Oryzias latipes: one gene and its partner. The protein of the gene in region 1 purifies or fractionates together with the protein of each later gene. This does not show direct contact. Links are inferred from orthologs where the notes say so. Each region holds a gene or a part of one and is shown in the gene's direction. Other genes may lie near its edges.

What was found.
Region 2: the proteins of acbd6 (region 1) and glycylpeptide N-tetradecanoyltransferase 1 purify together in Homo sapiens (co-immunoprecipitation; 3 studies listed by BioGRID and IntAct, with this or other methods). This does not show direct contact. The link is inferred for Oryzias latipes from reciprocal best matches to the Homo sapiens genes ACBD6 and NMT1.

The regions. Positions count from the first base shown.
Region 1 is NC_019862.2:32,235,284-32,241,470, reverse strand, and holds the start of acbd6 (acyl-CoA-binding domain-containing protein 6), read left to right. Parts: upstream 1-2,574; 5' UTR 2,575-2,760; coding exon 2,761-3,033; intron 3,034-3,319; coding exon 3,320-3,384; intron 3,385-4,844; coding exon 4,845-4,941; intron 4,942-6,187. UniProt on the Homo sapiens protein: Binds long-chain acyl-coenzyme A molecules with a strong preference for unsaturated C18:1-CoA, lower affinity for unsaturated C20:4-CoA, and very weak affinity for saturated C16:0-CoA. Does not bind fatty acids. Plays a role in protein N-myristoylation.
Region 2 is NC_019866.2:5,207,445-5,213,544, reverse strand, and holds the end of glycylpeptide N-tetradecanoyltransferase 1, read left to right. Parts: intron 1-313; coding exon 314-388; intron 389-660; coding exon 661-805; intron 806-887; coding exon 888-1,006; intron 1,007-1,371; coding exon 1,372-1,463; intron 1,464-1,587; coding exon 1,588-1,704; intron 1,705-1,856; coding exon 1,857-2,027; intron 2,028-2,102; coding exon 2,103-2,211; intron 2,212-2,784; coding exon 2,785-2,955; intron 2,956-3,044; coding exon 3,045-3,209; intron 3,210-3,306; coding exon 3,307-3,444; intron 3,445-3,977; coding exon 3,978-3,998; 3' UTR 3,999-4,557; downstream 4,558-6,100.

The DNA.
Region 1 (6,187 bases):
GCGTCGACGCGACTTTTGTTCCGTCAGGCAACTTGCTGCTCAACCTGCGGCGCGTCAGCGGACGCTCCGCTTCACCTCAGGCTCAGTGCGCTCCGAGCCGCTCCCGTCCCGCACACCACGCGCTCACGGCCGGGGCTGGAGGGGCAGTGGCTGCTCTCTAACAGGTGGTCGGGCCGCGGACGGTGGAAGTCGCCCCGTGACTTTGCTCGGTGCCTCCCTGGGCAGTTCTGGGGACATTGCGCTCCGCCATGCAGTCAACTCCACTGACGTGGTTGCGTCAGCAGAGCGCGCGCTGGCAGCACGCGCTGCCGGGACCTCCTGGTAACTGTTGATACACAAACAGCGTCTTCTTCCTCACCGTTTGCGTCTGAAGAGCCCGTTGTTTATTTCTGCAACAATATTACCAAAATAAATGAAACTTTGCAGAACTGAACTGTTTAATGTTAATGTTTCCATCACAACTACTTATTTTAAATAGAATGATACTTTGTTTTTTTAATAATAACAACAGGTCCATTTAAAAGCATTATAAGCTTTAAAATGGATTTGTTTCAATGCCATTATCAATAACAAAAAAACAGAACAATAAAACAATAAATGACATTGATTTTCAATTATCGTAATATTGTAAATAATTTTTTGGGAAGCCCTAAAGATTACATTTTATTAGCCAGACTTATTTTAGTTGGCAAATGGCTCCTTTAAAATGACTTGAAAGTTAAAAATTGAGTTGGAGCTTCCATTTTTATGCATTTCTTGGTTGATTTAGTTATGATTTCACCCAACTGATTTTAAAATCCTAGATGACAATTCAGTTTGCATTTTGATTGTTCGATTTGAAAACGGCTATTATTTATTACAGGTTATGTGTGAAAATATCTTCATAAAAAACATCAGGCATTTTAAAATCAAATATGTAATAATTTAAGTCTTTAAGTGTGCTGGTGTAAGCAAAATATTTACTTTTTACTCTCAAACTAAATAAATTACACAGCTGCTCTTTAAAATATGAAATGAAACATAGGAGTAACTACTGTAATATGCCTAAAAAAAGGAAATCAACTAAACTGCATTTAGATATAGGCTGTCCAGGAAAACACCTCCGAGGCCAAAGACTTCCATTTTTGTGGTACAATAGCGACCTCCTCTGGACAAATTGTGTAAATAGGTTATTATTATTATGATTATTATTATTATTCCCATTTTTTTCTATTGATTGAAGATGGCACATGGCTTAACATACAGTAAATTAACACACACACACACAAATCAGTATTTGCAGTCTTTTAATAAGTGTTATATATTATAACTATATATGTTTAAGGGTTACTCTAACTGCACAATGTTAATATGCATATACATTCCCAAATAGGCCTGTTTTAACCCTTGTGCTATCCTAGGCACGTTAACATTGGGAGTGGGGTCATCTAGACCCACTAGACAGTGCTCTGAACCTTTTTTCTTCAATGATTTGTGATCTTCACTGGTGTCCATGGATTACATGAAATCCTTCCACCTTTATCCACCTTTGTCATGGTAGGGAGAACACCTCAATGCAAGGGGGGGGGGGGGGGTCATCTAATACATCACAAGGGATAATTCACATCATTTTCTATATCAGCATCCTTTATTTATATGTCTGTTCGTGTATTAAGGCTTTAATTACATTTCATGTATACCAAAAATAAATAGAAAATTGGTTTTTTTTTAGCACTCTGTTTATGAACAGAAAATGTAGAAGATTAAATTACAGTTCTTCATTTTCGTTTGGTAGAAGGATTTCATATGTTACATATCAGAAATAGAGCCTGGGAACATCATTTTTGGTTTTAACCAGTTTTGTATATGATTTTTAAATGTTTTTTTTTATGCATTCAGAAATTAAATAATCAATTGTATCAAAAGAATTTTCACAGAGTAAATGCATTTTGTTTTGAGAAATACTGTTCATAAGTCATGGTTTGTTATGTCTGTTAATTCAATTTCCTTGCTAAATACGCGAATCCACTTAAATTGAAAGGGAGTTGTGGTTATGAAAAGAGAAAGGGTTTAGTTCAGTAGCCTAAATTTACTTTTTGTTTTGTTTTTTTGGACAGTAGTGTTAGTGGTCCTTTGTTCTAAAGAGGCAAGTCATTAATACCTGGTTTCATCTGTATTTTATGCAGCATCTAATTTTTTCCTTAAGATTCATTTTAGTTTTTAATTACTTGCATTATTACATATTTTTGTGTGTGTTTTTGTTTGCTTCTTTTTGTAAAATACGTTTTAAACAAATGTTTTACAATTAGGCTTAGTTAGTTCTACAGCTTTCTAGTTGACCAAACAGAGAAAAAGGAAAAATATAGCACCTCATTAATGACGATGTCATTTGAAGGGCTTACTGCAAAATATTATAGAAATTAACGTCCATAATCCAAAAATATGATCTCTGTCTCGCCAAAAGAAACCATAGTAAACTTTAAAATATATTTATTTTATTTATTTACTTTATTTTAATGTTTTAGTTTCAACAATTTGAAGAGAATGTGAGTAGAAGTGAAGCCGGAACGATTATTCTGCAGCCTTATGCGACTCCGGCGCTTTTAGTTGGCAGGACCAGAGATGGACCAACGGTAGAAACAAATCCCATCGTCGCGGAGTCTCAACGATGACGGAATAACCGTGAAATAATGTGAAAACGGTCACCGGAACCATCGTCCTCTCTCGTTTTTAACCGTCGCCGGTAGCTTCACCCTCGCGGGTTCTTTGAACATTAAAACAATGGCTTCTGGTTCGCCGTCGTCCTCGCCGGACACTGCGACAGGCTCTGGTACTGATCCAGCCCGGCCCGACACAGGGGAACCTTTCGGCGGAGCAGGCTCGGATTCGGACTCGGACTTGGGTTTGGGTAAACTTGACTGTGGCGCTATGGGGGAGCGGTTGGAAGGCGAGGAGCTTGAGCGGGAGTTCGACTTTGCAGCCGACCGAGTTAAAGACTTGATCCAGACGGCGAGCAGGGAGCAGCTGCTGTACCTGTACGCCCGCTACAAGCAGGTATGTGACGTCACTGGGACAGGTGGCGTCGGGTCGCCCGGTGACGTTCTAGTTCTACCGCCACTAGCCTCAAAGAGGTCGTGACATTTAAACGAAGGAGTTAAACCTCCTCATGTAGCCAAAGCATGAATGGAGGTCAATGACACAAGTCAATAGATTGTGCTGAGAAGTCAAAACCTTCTCTGGTTAAACTCGGGTTTTCATAGTAAATCTCATTCATATTTTGGTTTTTATTGAAAGTTCTGTTCATATTAATGTTACCGGCGTCATTTTTCCATATTCCCAGGTCAAAGTTGGAAAATGCAACACATCTAAGCCGGGTTTCTTTGACTTTGAAGGACAGAGAAAGTGGTAAGTTACTTAATGATTATAATGTAATGCACAACAGTAAAGCCCCACTCAATCATCTTTAGATCTATTTTAGAAGCCTTCCCAGTAGTTTCTTAATTTAATTTAGTCTAAATCCAAAAACTGTCGTTTTCTAGGACATAGTCTCTGCAGGGCGGCAGGAGTTCATTAGAAATTCACCTCTGAGTTGTGGGCGGGACTATTGGACTATGGAGTAAGCCTGCCTTAATTTCCCAGCATCCCTTTGTTTACACTCTCTCCCACTAGTTTACTGCCCCTCACACCCCCAACCTAACATTGCCGGTGCAACAAACATGGCAGCAATGTCAGAGCTGTGCAGCCGTCCAGTTCTGACCCGGACACTGGCTCAGACCAGGAAAACAGCGCCAGGATGATGCGGAGCAGGCAGCTTACGGCCGGCTGAGTGGAGTTTCTAAGGAACAACCGCAAGCTTTTTCAGATGGCAGTTTTGATTCACAACAATTTGACCAAAGACAAACTCAGAAACACAGTTTAAATCAGAATCTTATTCAAACATGTCCTCCAACGTGACACAAGAAGAGCATGTTTAAAAACACAAAAAAAATATTTTCATTGGAGTGGGTCTGTAAGTAATAATCAGCTTTATTGACCAAGTATGAGTGCATAGCAAGGGGTCTGGCTTGTGTGACTAAAGCTGTTATGTAAAACATCAACGCATAAATAGGTGTAAATATATGAAAAAGAGGGGGAGTAGATGTACACGGCATTAAAGCGGGTTTCAAGTCCTCTTGTTTGAGATTTCACACACAGTGACTGAGAGTTGATCAGAGCCACAGCTTGGGGGCAGAAGCTGTCTCTCTGGTGGGCGGTTTTGGCGTAAAGAGCCCTGAAAGGCCGGCTGAGGGGAGGGGTCTGTATTGGGTCCGCTGAGATCTGACCAGCCCACCTCCTGACCCCGGACCGCTACAGGTCCTGCATGGAGAGGAGGTTGGAACCTATAGCCGGACGTTCCCACACAACCATTTTTCTGTTCCATTGAAATTCCAACATAGATGGAGCTTCAGGTGATGTTAGAGGAGACGATCAGATGATTGTCTTCCTCACCAAATGTTCTGTCTGGAATCTGTTAGAACAAGAGAAAGGACACATTTTCTCATCCTTAAACCAAACTGGGACTTGAAAATCCTCAGTGTCGTCACGTCTGACCAGAATTCAGAACATTTAATCACTAAACAGACAGTGATTGACTGTGGTTTTATGCTTTTATCGTTTTATCGTCTTTTATCCGTGTTGGATATTCTTATGCGTCATTTCTTCCTCTTCAAATCCATTTTTTTTCTTCCATAACACGGAGACTTCAGATGGAATGTAGCTTATGGCTAAATTCTGGCATACTTTTACCTTTGTGTTTATTCTTTATCTTCATAATGTCCTGTTTTTAATAAATAAATGTTTAAAAGGGAATTGTGATGTTTTGACAGGCAAGCCTGGAAGCAGCTTGGAGACATGGATGCAGAGCAGGCAATGCAAGAATACATAACCTGTGTTAACGCGCTGGACCCTGAAGGCATCGCAAAGGTAAGTGAAGCACTCGTGAGGGGATAGCGCTCATAAATGGAACATTGGTGTTTTTAGATGATGTTTAGATGTGACCAGAATGATCCTGTAGTCTTCACTTGTTTAAGTTATTGGTTTCTCTTATTTTCTGACACTTCTGTATGTTGATCATTCAGCAGATTTTATGCCATATCTTCATCGGTTCTCTTACTGTTACCATCTTTACTTGAAAGCAAAATGCTGGAAAATCATATCTGTCATCAGTTTGGTATTTAATGTTCATGAAAACAGACTCCAATAACAAATAAACCTGGGGGGTATTCCAGGAAGCATGTTTAAACTAGCCTGACTTTAATCCTGAACTCTGGCTGAAATCCGCCTGAACTTGCTTACTCTGGGTATGTCGGTTCCCAAAGACCGGATATGAGTTGGCGTAATTACGCTCCACTTGGTAACCCTGGGTTAATGCACGTGCACAGCAGGTACATAAAGACATTCTCAATAGATCGCAGATTTCCAGTGTCGCCATGGAAACGCTTGGAGAAATATATATAAATTATCCAACTTATCATCCTCTCATGGTGGAAAAAGTATTATCTGAGCTTCTTCATCCACTAAATCATCTTCAAATGGACACGCCATGCTGCTTCCCCTCTCTGTAAACAAACTAACCTTCAACTAAACCTGCTCCAGACCAGGTTATGTTCAGAGCATGAGTTGCTATGGCAACTTGACCTACCCTGAAACATACCTCCATTTCAGGAACCTAAGGCTGAGGTTATCAACTTCCTTAGCCTCAAACTTACCGTGGGAGCTAGCATAACCTGCTTTCTGGAATACCCCCCCCCCTGATGACAAAACCACAACCATTCTGTCTTTTCTGTTTGGGGGATGTAGTGTCGTATCTCTGCCAGTAGGTGTCAGTGTCATTTAGTCAGGATTCCTGCAGACTAAAGAACTTCCAAATACTTTTTAGTATTTTTAAAACTTGATTATCTGGGATAAGAATTTCTCTGGAAATCATTGAATTATAGATGCCAGTCAGTATGAGGATTTCCAAAATGTTTTCATATAAAAGCACAATAAACCATTTCTTCTTCTTCTTTTTATCTTTTTGTTTTTATTGTTATTTTTGTGAAGCTGCAAAGAAATAAAAGTATTGTATAGGGTTTTAACATAAACATGTTCCTTCACCACTTTGACCACAGTAGGAGTTAAAAGAAGCATCTTTCCTGTCATGTTTTGTTCAGCTTATCCATTGTGTTTA
Region 2 (6,100 bases), on another chromosome or scaffold:
CTGAAGATGGAGATCGTTTCTTAAGAAAATGAATTAGAAAAGAAAATTATTTTATTCATTATAACAAGCAGAAAAAAGCAACATTTTCAAAAAGAGAGCATTTGTGATGTAGAAGATATGCTGAGTGAGCTATAGGCTCCCTGCTCCGCTCCATTCTGATGCATCCACTTGTAGACGAATAAATCCACGAACGTCTTTGTTTTCCTCGTCTGTGCTGGCATCTGGCTCAAAACCGTACGGCAGGATAGCTCAGGTATTGCTCGCCATTTTTGTTGCACCATTAATGTTAGGTTGGGTGTGTGAGGGGCTGTAGGCAAGCAGGACAGCGTCTAAACAGATGGATGACTCGGGCTTACTCGGTGCCAGTGGTCACGCTCACGACTTAGAGGTGAATTTCTAATGAACTACTGCCGCTCTACAGAAACTACGTTATAGAAAATGAAAGTTTTTTAATCATAATTGAAAGACCACTGGGAAGGCTCTAACATTAGATCATAAGATGATTGGAGTGGGTCTTTAAGATCAAATTTTATGTGGAAGGTTCATTTAATCTTGGATAAAAAGTAGATCTCATTTTGAATGTCGTAAGCTTCTCTGTCTGCTGCTCCCCTCTTTTCATTTAATTTAATAAAGATCTTTTTATTTGGTCTTCAAAAACAGGTGAATTCATTGCCAGCTGATAAGCTACAGGAGATCCAAAAGGCCATCGAACTCTTCTCTGTGGGCCAAGGTCCAGCCAAGACCATGGAGGAAGCCACTCGGAGAAGTTACCAGTTCTGGGACACGCAGCCCGTTCCCAAGCTAGGTGTGAGAAACATCAGAGGTTTCAGAACTTAAGGTCAAGCGAGACATATGTCATAATGTGGCGTGTTATTTTGACTTCACAGGGGAGACGGTGACGTCTCATGGCTCTATTGAACCTGATAAGGACGCCATTCGAGAGGAGCCCTACAGCCTCCCGCAGGGCTTCAGCTGGGACACCCTCGACCTGGGGGATCCCGCTGTGGTACGAGAGGTTGAATGACATATGAAACAATACCTGGGCATTCAATCCTTTTCAATTAAAATAATAATCTACAGTTCATATTATTACTTTTAATAATATTAATCCATTTAGATTCAATCTATGCTTTCATTTTTTTAAGCAACTTGGATATTTTTGCCGTTAAACTGCCGAAATATGTTAAACTTGATCTTTTATTTAGACAATGCAAGAGCTTATATATCATAGGCTGCACATCTTAAACTCTCAGAGCTTTTAGTATCTACGTGGGTTAAAAAAATGTAACTTTCAGATTCAAGTCTTCTCTTTCAGAAGGGATTTTCTGAATCTGAAACGGTTAACTGCTCCCTTGTGCTTCTCTAAAACAGCTTAAGGAGCTTTACACTCTTCTCAATGAGAACTATGTGGAAGACGATGACAACATGTTCAGATTTGACTACTCTCCTGAGTTTCTTCTCTGGTAACTTTTCCTAATTTATCATTTTGCCTTTAAAAAAGATCCAACATAATTTTAAAAATAGGTGTGTTTATAACAAAGAGCAGATGGACGTTCTGTGAAGGTGACTGGCTGCTGTGTTTCTCAGGGCGCTGCGACCTCCAGGCTGGTTGCCACAGTGGCATTGTGGTGTGAGGGTGAACTCCAACCAGAAGCTTGTGGGATTCATCAGCGCCATTCCAGCCAACATTCGCATCTACGATATGTAAAGAGATGAAATCTTGACCTGAATGAATGTCAATATTTCTATCACACCTCCCATTTTTGTCTGAATGAGTTGTGGGACTGTTTAAACATGAGAAATTGTCTAAAATGTTTTGTTTAAAATATTTTTTCTTTCTTTTTTTTTTGCTCTAGAGAAAAGAAAATGGTTGAGATCAACTTCCTTTGTGTCCACAAGAAGCTTCGCTCCAAACGGGTCGCTCCAGTTCTGATCAGAGAGATCACTAGAAGGGTCAATTTGCAGGGCATCTTCCAGGCTGTGTACACAGCCGGAGTCGTGCTGCCCAAACCTGTAGGCACCTGCAGGTTTGTCATGGAGAAGCAACTTTTTCTTCCTCATGATGTTCCTGAGTTTATTTTTGCCATTTTTCATTTGCAAAGGTACTGGCATCGCTCCTTGAACCCACGGAAACTAATTGAGGTCAAGTTCTCCCATCTGAGCAGGAACATGACTATGCAGCGCACAATGAAGCTTTACCGCCTGCCCGAGGTTAGTTGTGGCACAAATTAAGCAGCAAATCTAAGAAATTTGTTCTTTTTTAATCAGATCTTTAAAATGTAAAATACCACGTGGTCGTTTTCACCTGGTACTGGGGTAAATATTACTTTTTTAAAAAATTTTTTAGTATTCCATGATTTGCACACTTTATAGGGAATGCTTGATGTTTTTCTTTTTCTACTGATTATTTAATGTTCTATTCAATAGTTGCACAATAAATCTCAAACGGAACAAAAAAATTAATTCCATTAGAGATTTTTGTTGTCTTTTTTTACAGCAAAATCCACAGAAATGGAATAGATTTCTACAGAAATCTGTAGAGGACAAATTAAGAATAACCTGAATATTTCCCAACCACTGCTGCTAAATGACCTCATTTTGGTGTCTACAGAGGACATTTGGGGCTTTTCAATGATGTCAGATGCAAATGGGGGGGATTCTGGGAATTGTAGTTTTTGGTAGATTAAAAAAAAAATTAGAGTGTGCTATTTTTTTCCTCTGGTAGTCAGATAGTTAAAGGAAACTTTTAAGATGCAAGCCCTTCCCTTGCCCCTCCTCCTTTAGGCTCCAAAGACTTCTGGTCTGCGACCGATGACCAAGAAGGATGTGCCAGTGGTGCATCGCCTTTTCCGTGAATACCTGAGCCAGTTCAACCTTGTGCCTGTCATGAACCAGGAGGAGGTGGAACACTGGTTTCTGCCCCAGGAGAACATTGTTGACACCTATCTTGTGGAGGTAAATGGTTGTTGAGAAGGTTTTAGCTCTGCCGCTATGGCACTGATCCGTGTGATTGTTTTAATTTTTTTTATTTTACCGTCTGACAGTCGAATGGAAAAGTGACGGACTTCCTGAGTTTCTACACGCTGCCCTCCACCATCATGAACCATCCTGTGCACCGGAGTCTCAAAGCAGCATACTCTTTTTACAATGTGCACACCACCACCCCACTGCTTGATTTGATGTCTGATGCTCTCATTCTGGCCAAATCGGTTTGTTCTTCGTCATTTCTTTAAAAAAAAACAAAAAAAAAACACTGCTGCTTAAAGATTATGCACACAAGAAACTGATTTTTGTGTGTGTTTACAGAAAGGCTTTGATGTCTTTAATGCACTGGATTTAATGGAAAACAAGACTTTCTTGGAGAAGTTGAAATTTGGCATCGGTGATGGGAATCTACAGTATTATCTGTACAATTGGAAGTGTCCCAGCATGGGGCCAGAGAAGGTAGGTCTTAGCTTCACACCATGACCTAGACGTACCACTTTCTGCAGATGGGCATGAAGTGACTGTTTGCTTTTTTTTTTAAAGTCCCAGTCGGGTCATCTTTTGATTTATTTTCAAAGTGTTTTCAGTGGTGGTTTAATTATGATTAAAACAATCCTTTTGCAGATAAGGTTGTCAAAATGTTGCAGGCTTTTAATTGGAAACATTCACATTATTTTATGTCAAATGTATGCTTTCGAAGCAAATTTAGTTTGAGAAAAAAAATGAAGAAATTAAACCAGTTGAGAAAATACGTAAAATTAAAAGAGGGAAGAAAAAAAAAGAAATAATCTTTTAAAATGAGTAAATAAATACAGAAAATAAAGCGTAAATGGGTGAAGTAACACGGGTAAACCAATTAAGGCTCATACAGTGCACGCCAGGTGAGCACAGATCTGACAGGGCATCAGAGAAACTATAACCTTATTTAATTTTTTCAGCAACGTGGCAAACTTTTGAATTTAAAAACTTGTTCTGGTTGGTTTTTGTCTCAGGTTGGCTTGGTTCTGCAGTGACAGCTGAACCCTGAGAGCACGAGTTACCAATGAGGCAAAAGAACGCACTGTGGACTGATGACTTCCTGCTTAGGAGAGGAAACTACCGCCCATTTTTACTTTCTGACCTTCTGAACTCTGAGCTGCACTACCGCTGCCAGGCCTGGAGGCTGGGAAAGCCCGCATCTTTCCACCCTCCCCGATCACACGGACCATAAGCCATTCTAGTTCTCATCGCAGACAACTGTATTTCATCAGAAAGCTGTCTTGATTGTACACAAATCTGCATCTGTTTGCACAGATGACTGGCCACCAAAACACTCGCAGCTGGCATATCCAGAAAATCTTCAGAACCTGTAAATAATGTCAGACATGACTGCGTTTATGCCCTGAACACATGCAGACTAGAATCTTCTGTTTAATTTTATTCCTAAATGTTGGAAATGCTTTTTGCTAATAAAAACAAATCACTCATTCTTAAGTTTTAGAGCTAAAAAAAATCCCATCAAAATAAGAAAAAATATTTTAACACGTTCAGAGGCCCTGAAAAAGATGCGGTAATAAATACCAAAACTGGACATTTGGGCTTCTGTTGAGAGTATTTTTTTTGGTTGTGAGTCTTATTGTTTGTGCTGCCCTGCTGCTCCTGTTTCACCACCGCTTCAGGTTGACGCCATCTTGTGTCCTGATGTGTCCTCGTGACCTTTGGTCTGCAGCTGTTGTAACGCACAAAATGAGCAACAAAATGCTGCATTTGCATTTGTTTTAAGTGGTTACAAAAACGGTTTCTGAAGTTTTATTTTTTTTAATTTTTTTTACATTAATACATATTCAGATTTTATTTAAGTTCCCCCCCCCCCCCCCCCCCCCGTAGGAAAATTGTACAGTTGCTCAGCACTAACTCAGAAAATATGAACCGCAGCCTCAAAGTCAGAAAAGGAGATAAAAATAAATGTTTTTCACAATATTTGCTTTGGACAAATATTTCACCTAGTTCTGTCTTCTGATTATCAGATTGCTGTCTGTTAAATTCATCCTCCATTGCTGAAGAAGAATGTTTTACTGTAATTAAAAAAAAAAAAGTGGTTTGTTCCAACAAAGTTTTAAAAAGTGATCAAAGCAAACCTTGAAAAAGGGTTTAATGGTTTAAGGAAACAAAAAACAATTTTATTTTATACCTTTTTTATTTAAATACCTGCTATAAAGTAATTAACTGATCAAACAATTTAAACCAATTAGCTTAAAGTTTTCTTTCCAAATTAAGTTAAAAACCAGAGGATAAGAAATGCAGATTTGTATTTACTTTTTGGTATATATACAACATTAGTGAACTTTTAATTGTGTTGTGTCCATAATTACGGTGAAACTTTCCCCTCAAACATGAATGATTTTCCACTTTACAGCCCCATTCATTCACATTTATACACTAAAATGTGTTTTTTGATGTCATTTTTTAATTTAAGAAATCACATACTTTGGAATTGATTTATTTCAATCAAAACAAAAAATACTAAAGACTATCCAGATATAGACTCACTGGCCACTTTATTAGTCACACCTGTCCAACTGCTTGCTAACGCAAATTGCTAATCAGCCAATCACATGGCTGCAACTCAATGGATATAGGCATGTCGACATGGTCAAGAGGATCTGCTGCAGTTCAAACCGAGCATCAGAACGGGGAAGAAAAGCCAGTTAAGTGACTATTATGCTGTGTATTTCAGAAACTCCTGATCTACTGGGATTTTCACCCACAACCATCTCTATGGTTTACAGAGAATTGTCAGAAAAAGAGATCACATCCAGTGAGCAGTTTGGACACTTTGGGCCCCTTAGACCAGCTGATCATTTCCTGACCATGTCCATCCTTTTATGACCACAGTGATGACTACTTCCAGCAGGATACTGCATCATGTCATAAAGCTGGAATCATCTCAGACTGGTTTCTTGAAAATGAGTTCACTGGACTCAAATGGCCTGCAGAGTTCCTAGATTTCAACCCAATGGAGAACCTTTGGGTGTGGTGGAACGGGAGGTTGGCATCGTAGATGTGCAGCAGACAAATCTGCAGCAATGCGTGATGCTGTCATGTCGACATCATGGACCAAACTCTTTGAGAAATG